Macaca fascicularis: one gene and its partner. The protein of the gene in region 1 interacts with the protein of each later gene in a pairwise test. Links are inferred from orthologs where the notes say so. Each region holds a gene or a part of one and is shown on either strand. Other genes may lie near its edges.

Region 1 (3,562 bases):
AGGCATGAGCTACCATGCCCGGCCTTTGATTCTTTAGTTATGCCACAAACTCCAGTTTCTTCTCTTGCCGATTTCTGCTGGCCTCTCCATGAAAAATCAGTTTGCTTCCTCCTTTTGCCTCTCAGCACTTGAAGCGTGGGGCTGTCTCTTTCTCTTCTCTCTTCATATCCTCCCTAAGGCCACCTCAAACCACTAGGAACATCTGGGTCCTAAAAGGTTTAACCAGGGAAATCGTCTAGCTTCCAAATCCTAAGATTCTGAGCCATAACCTGTAATGCAGTTTCCCATTACTGTACATCAGACAGCTCCGATAGCAGAAATGGATCAACAAACACTCCTGTTTTACCCAACAACATATACCTCAGCCTTTTCATCACATTTGCAAAATTTAAACAAACAAACAAAAAAGAAATGGTAGTATAAAGTACTTATGTACCTGGAAAACAGGCAGTGGTTTTAAAATTGTCCCATGAAAATCAACATTTGAATACAACTTTTCATTTTAATAAAATTAATATATATAATATATATACTAAATGTCTGCAAGCCTTCAACCAGAAGCCACCTATGTCAAGGGCACTTTTATGCCCACAAGTAGACTGGATGGCAAATTGTATCTGCCTGATGGGAGAGAGGATGCTTGATCTATAAACTGTGTTGATGATCAAACAGGAGTCGAAACTGATACCAACCGACACTGATCTTCTAAGTCATTTTAAAGGCCTCTGCATTGAGTAGAAACTGAAACTGATGCAGCTAGTATCATTACGTTAGGATAGAAGTCACAACAATGAGGTCAAATGGATTTGAATTCATCAGTGCAAACATGAAAAGTATTTACTGGGCTAACAGTTATGTAAAAGGAACCCTTTCTTAACTCAAGAGTAACACTTGGAATAAGTATCCAAAACACAATGTTGCCTGGGTGTGGTGGCCCATGCCTGTAATGCCAGCACTTAGGGAGGCTGAGGTGAAAGGATTGCTTGAGCCCAGAAATTACAGGTTGTAGTAAGCTATGATCCTACCTCTGCACTCCAGCTTAAGGCTCTGTCTCAAAAACAAAAAACAACAACAAAAAAAACCCACCACATCTGCCTTGTATTTCACTACCTAAGGAGTAGTAACTGGCTTACTGGTACTTCTTTGACACAGAATCCCTGTTAATATCGAATATCTTTCCTGTACAGGTTCAATGGTATCAGTCAGTCCAGAACCCACAGAATTTTTGTCCCTGATCATTCCTGCCACCTCATCTTACCAGCTGGATCTCAAGGACACAGACCAAGCAAACATCCAGTAGTGGGAAAGGGTGGTAGTAGAAGGGCTCAGTCTGTGAATATAATCTTTCTAGGATGCACTTCTAACAAATGTGCTAGCTCACTGCATCTATGTGAACTGAGATGGAAAAACACACATCTGGAGACTCTAAGTTAGGATGTGGTCTAGGGGAGGGCCACAGGGACAACACTTTGCTGATCTCCCTATAATCATATTAGCAAATGCCAACTACCTGAAGTTCCTTAACCACCCCACCCCTTCACTCCAAACCTGAAACCCCTCCTGGCAGAAATAAGCACAAAAGGAAGGTGAAGGTAAAGATTCAAAACCTTTTCTGACGTAAAACCCTTTATCAAACTGATTATTTTCAAAGTTTTTTTTTTTTGATACGGAGTCTCACTCTGCCACCCAGGCTGGAGTACAGTGGTGTGATCTCGACTCACTGAACCCGACTCCCGGGTTCAAGCGATTCTCCTGCCTCAGTCTCCCAAGTAGCTGGGACTACAGGCATCTGACACCACGCCTGGCTAATTTTTGTATTTTTAGTAGAGACAGGGTTTCGTCATGTTGGCCAGGATGGTCTCGATCTCTTGACCTCATGATCCACCTGCCGTGGCCTCCCAAAGTGTTGGGATTACAGGCGTGAGCCACTGCGCCCAGCCTATTTGCAAAGCTTTAAGAACTGTGTTTTGTCAATAGTCAAATCAAAGTGCACCTTTAAATAAACAATCCAAAATGAGTCACAAAATGCGTAAAATACTGTAAAAATAATCTTTGTTCAGCACATTTTAGTTTTAGGAAAGTTATTGCCATTCTTCCTGGGTGCGGTTATGCCAGAGGAGAAAAACCATAATAATTTCAAAAACTAATTATTTACACATTGCCAAGATTCCATTTGCATGCAATGTTCTCTAGCAGACAAAAAGTAGATTAGTGGTTGCCTGGGGGCTACGGTGAGATGGTCGCGTTAACTATAAATTTACTACAAATCACTGAATTGTATACTTTCAACAGATTAATTTTATGGAATGAAATTACATAATAAAGTTGCTTAAAACTATTTAGAATGGTTCTCAGATTTCTACCAAGAATTAAGTTATCTGTGAATACAACAATTTACATCTTAAAGAAACCACTACCATGATCATTATTTCCTAATCTGATCATCACATCATAAAAGAATCCAAGACCTTATTTTATTATAGCGGCAGTGTTCTTTTTCTACCCAAGAGAGAAAAAACTGGCTGGGCGCCATGGCTCACACGAGTAATCCCAGGACTTTTGAGTGGCCTAGGTGGGCAGATTCCTTGAGTCCACGAGTTTCAGATCAGCTTGGGCAACAAGGTGAAACCCCATCTCTTCAAAAAAATACATGAATTAGCTGAGCGTGGTGATGCATGTCTGCAGTCCTAGCTACCTGGGAGGCTGAGGCAGGAGGATCGCTTGAGCCTGGGAGGCAGAGGTTACAATGAGGTTAAGATGGTGCTACTGCACTCCAGCCTGGGCTGTTAACAGAGTGAGACTCTGTTCCCCCACCTCCCCTAAAAAGCTAAGTTAAAAACAAGTTGATGAAATAGAAAACATGAGAGATGATACCACTGCATCTAAACTCTCACAATTCCTAACAGAAGTACGTGATAATTGTTTATGATAAATATCTTAATTTCAATAACTTCCTGAGATATAGAAAAGTACTTACATTCATCATAAAATCCATAAATTCTGTTGATGCTGGCACATTCATGGTTCCCTCTGAGAAGAAAAAAATTCTCAGGATATTTGATTTTGTAGGCCAGTAAGAGGCAGATCGTCTCCAATGACTGCTTTCCCCTGTCCACATAGTCCCCAAGAAACAGGTAGTTGCTTTCTGGCGGGAAACCACCGTACTCAAAAAGTCGCAGCAAATCATAGTATTGCCCATGGATGTCACCTAGAAGCAAGAATTTTGTTACACAGTGTTCCCATACTTACAGCTCAATCCACTAACAAAGCTTTAGAAAGAAATTCTTTAAAAATTCATTGTACAATGGCATTGACCTCTAGTAATGAGAGTTTAATTGGACAGCCAACACTAAGTAATTTCCAAACTGGCATCATATTTAGTTCAATTGAACTTAATAAAATTTTTAAGTATATGTGTATGTCCAGAACCTCACACAAAATTCAACTAATTAAGAATTTATTCTGTGGAAAGGGTTATTATGTCCAGGCATGCCTTCTTGCCAAGTAACATGGTATTCCTTTCAGGATGACTGATCAATATCAGATCCCTGATAGCTCAGTC
Region 2 (3,999 bases), on another chromosome or scaffold:
TGTAGCTTTTCCAAGAATCGAAAGTGATACGGATCTGAACTTTCTTCTCAAAACTCACATTTTTGACTTTCACAGTCCCTGTCACTGTTCGCTCTTGCAACGAGCAGTTCTCCAGACAGACAAAGTTCTTCTGAAAGTGACTCCGGAAACTTAAGTAATCGGTTGAAGGCTGAGGGAAATCTAAAATCAAGTTTTTCTCCTCGTGGCGTTTTAAGGCAGAGGAGATATCATTAAGATCCAAGAGATCAAACTGGAGATCCCACGCTGGTTCTTCTGGGAGGTCAGAGAAGACATGGATGGCGGTGAGAGAGAGGCCCTTGGAGTCAGCAAACACAACGCGCTTCTTGGCTTGGTTGTGCGAGCACTTCCAGTCATTCTGTGATTTGGCTTCCTGTTTTATGTTGAGACATGGTTTCAGAGGCTTTAATTTATTCACAAAATGTCTTCGTTGAAAGTCATCGTAAGGGCCCAGGAAACTCTTCACAGGTGGTGAATGAGCCAAGCAAAGCCTCATGGCCACATCCACGGGCATGACCGAACTTGTCAAAGGACGTGGATCTAAAACCTGGATCATTCTGGAATGCAAAGGGAAGAGGGATTATCACCTGGATCGGAAGTGCTCTTTCCCAGTGCCAAATACATATGTACTATTTTTGTGCTGACTGAATTTTAGCCAGTGCAGTAGATATCAGGCAGGTGCTATCATATATAGTAAAAGAGAACAGTATTAACTGATCAGATCTTCTTTCTATGTCTACCTCTACCCTTGGCTGGCTAAAGGCTAAGTGTTAACTGCTTAAAACACTTAGAGGGTGATGGGGGTCTCAGTCTCCCCATCTGAGAAATAAAAGGGTTCGATTTGATTATCTCCCAGGCAGCCTTGAGAACTGTGTGCTCTGTTCTGGACCAGTGGTCCTCAAACCTGTCTGGTCACTATGCCTGGGGAATTCATTTTCTTTCTTTCTTTTCTTCCCTCCTTCCCTGCTTCCTTTCCTTCCTTTCTTCCTTTCCTTCCTTCCTTTCTTTTCTCTTCCTCTCGTTCTCTCTCTCTCTTTCTTCTTTTTTCTTTCTTTCCAATTCCTGGGACTCAGAACCACTGAGGCAGAACTTCTGGGGCTAGGGCCAAGGGATGGATATGCTCTTAAAGCTTCCCAGGTGATTCTAATGACCAGAGAGGTTCAGAAGCCACAGTTCCAGACCCTCTGCTCCCTCTGGCTACTTTGGCTTATTTTGCTGCTAAATTGATTGACACTTCTCTGGTAAGGTAATTCACTTGAAAAACAAAAAAAAACAAAAATAACATGCAACAGTTTTGAGAGTGAGAAGGCTAGAGAAGAAGTCAAAGAATTCTCTTTGTACTTTGATTGTCATGCTTTTCCTCATTTTTCACAAATAACCACTGAAATACAAGTCAATAATTCATATGTACTTACAAACTGTGTAACTGATAATTCATCTAAAGAGATGCCCATGACAAGTCCACATTTAAGTGGAAAACCTGATTACCTGAAAGTTGGCGTGTTTTAAAATATACATTATATGTATGCAAGCTTATAAATATTGAAAAACTCTGTAAGAAATACACCTTTCCTAATAATGTAATAATTATTATCTCTGGGTGATAGGACTATAGATTATCTATTTTCATTTTTGTTCCTTTTTTGGCATTTTCTAATAGACATTTATAAGTAGAAAGACAATAAAGCTATTTAAAGTTTTAAACATGACTATGCTCAGCAATATTAAACCAAGAAGCATCCATAAAGAAGACTTTTCTCTGGCCTTTAGCCCTCATTATATATTTCCAAGCTTATGGTATTAGGATTTTTTTCCCTATCTTAGCCTTACAAGTAAGAGGTGTGTGTATACTGTACACGACATTTCTCAGTCTGGCTTTAGTAACTCTCCTCACAGCAGCTCTAAATATGTATCCAAGTGGTCATTATCACAAAAATGGGTAATAACACTCGCAGAATTTACTGTATTAGCTCTGGGGTTTTTCTGGGAGACCTGCAAACTTAGAACAAACAAATGAAAGCTAAAGCTATATTTGTGGGTCTAATAATAGTTAATAGGCAGGATTTTTAGAGAAGTCTTCTGCTAAGCTATGTCTGGAGAAGCTATTTAAAGTAGTTTTATGGCAGTTTTTTTATTTTATTTTATTTTTACTTTTTGCATTTATAGAAAGACAGTTTTACTTTGGGTGATTTCCTTGGAACTTTAAGTCCTGGACAAGAGTTAAAAGTAATTGTTTGCTCAAACTCTTGAGATTGTGCTATGGCAAACTGTGATAAGAAGGACGAATGAATGCAAACGTCGTCCTGTAATTTTTTTCCTCCAAGCTAAACCACCTAACCAGCAATGTCAGAGTGCTGTTCTCACCACTTCAGCTGCCTGAGTCCTTGCGACATTTGTGCAGGACCAAAAGAACAGCCGCATCCATGAGAAAATCAGAACTCAAGCTGATTCACGTTAAGATAACTTCTGCTTTAAGATGCTGATTGCTAAAATAGGCTCTGCTTAAGAAATAGAGTCAAATTTCTACACCTCCAAGCCCTCTCGGTTGCCAGATTCAACTAAGCAGTCAGTTCCCTTATCCTCATGACAGAACTGAAACGCCCCCCCAACTTCCCCACAGCTGTGCGTTCCCCTGTGTTCCTACCGCGCAGAGGTGCAGCGAACCTACCTGGTGCAGCTCATTAGGCAGACAGGCGGCGGACCGTGAAAGCCAGCACCCACTGCCTGCACAAATTCGAACCACAGCTCCCTGCCTTCCCCCGCGGCGGTCGCTGGGAGAGATTGAGGGCCTGGCGCCTAGAGGCCGCTTATCTGCTCCGAAGCACGTGACCCGATTCCTGGGACCAATCGCCGGGCCTCGGGCCCCATGGCGCGACCAACCAGCACCCAGATGGGGCGAGAGCCCTCGCCCCGGGAATATGATCGCCCCGGGGCCGGACGTGCAGAGCGCGAGCTGGGCATCCCGGGGAGGTTCTGGGACTCCGCGGCCAGCTGGACGCAGCCGCGTAACGGGAACCCTGGGCGAGGGGCCGGGCAGGCACGTACCGCATGCAACGGGCGCCGGCCAAGAGAGAGCGCAGCCAGCCTCGCCCAGGCGGGGCGCCAGTGCCTCAGGCTTGGGGCGGCTGTTACTTGGGAATAGCTTTGTGGGTCAGTGCAGTTGAATCTCCACACAGATGTGGCTCAATCCGAATGTGTATCGCATTTGAAATGTTTATGTTGTTCATTGCCCGGTGTATCCGCATTTCTCCCTCATCTTAGCCTGCGCGATCCCAAACTGGCTTCATGCTTTTCTGTTAGTTATGGGTTCACAGATGCACCACACAGTAGACAGCTGCCGGGAATTACCAACTTATCTAACAAATGTTAGGAAAGCATACGAGCCCCATAAAACAGCGAGGTGGCATTTAATTAAAAGATACTTTGTATTTCTGTCTATTCTTCAATTTTCTCCCCTGCGGGGAACACTAAAGCCGGAAGAGAAATGACCCTTTTCACACATACAGCCGTATGTGTGAAAGAAGAAAAAAAATCACGCTGAGTATCACTGGGAAAGGCACTTCATGCTGAGGTTTTATTTTTGAAATGAAAATCTAACTAATGGCAGGTCTTCTAGCCCCTTTGGCTCAACCAAAACTAGCTGGAAGGTCTTTGAATTGACACTTACTAGCTACACGAATCTAGGCAAGTTCTAACCTCAGTTTCCTCATATGTAAAACGGAGATAGTAACGTTCTGAGGATGAAGTAAGATGGTGCCAATGAACAGACTCAGCACGATGCCCAGCTCCTGTGTTCAACCCGGGCTACTTCCTAAGTTTCTACTTGATCTCTCAGCTAGAGTTTTTACTCTATCACCTCAAGGCACCTGGTGCCTGAGCTAAAATATTGAGAATAACTGCTGCTTGTTGAGCCTTTACTCTGCCAAACACTGTGTGCTATCAGTTCAATCCTCACAAGAGCCCTATGTGATATGTCCAGTT

The links. The genes of interacting proteins can lie anywhere in the genome.
Region 2: the proteins of PPP1CC (region 1) and PPP1R3C interact in binary tests that used the Homo sapiens proteins (3 or more experiments, as listed by UniProt). The link is inferred for Macaca fascicularis from reciprocal best matches to the Homo sapiens genes PPP1CC and PPP1R3C.

Annotation. Positions count from the first base shown.
Region 1 is NC_088385.1:117,610,151-117,613,712, forward strand, and holds part of PPP1CC (serine/threonine-protein phosphatase PP1-gamma catalytic subunit), read right to left. Parts: intron 3,209-3,562; coding exon 2,978-3,208; intron 1-2,977. UniProt on the Homo sapiens protein: Protein phosphatase that associates with over 200 regulatory proteins to form highly specific holoenzymes which dephosphorylate hundreds of biological targets.
Region 2 is NC_088383.1:100,435,615-100,439,613, forward strand, and holds the start of PPP1R3C (protein phosphatase 1 regulatory subunit 3C), read right to left. Parts: upstream 2,802-3,999; 5' UTR 2,701-2,801; coding exon 2,687-2,700; intron 576-2,686; coding exon 1-575.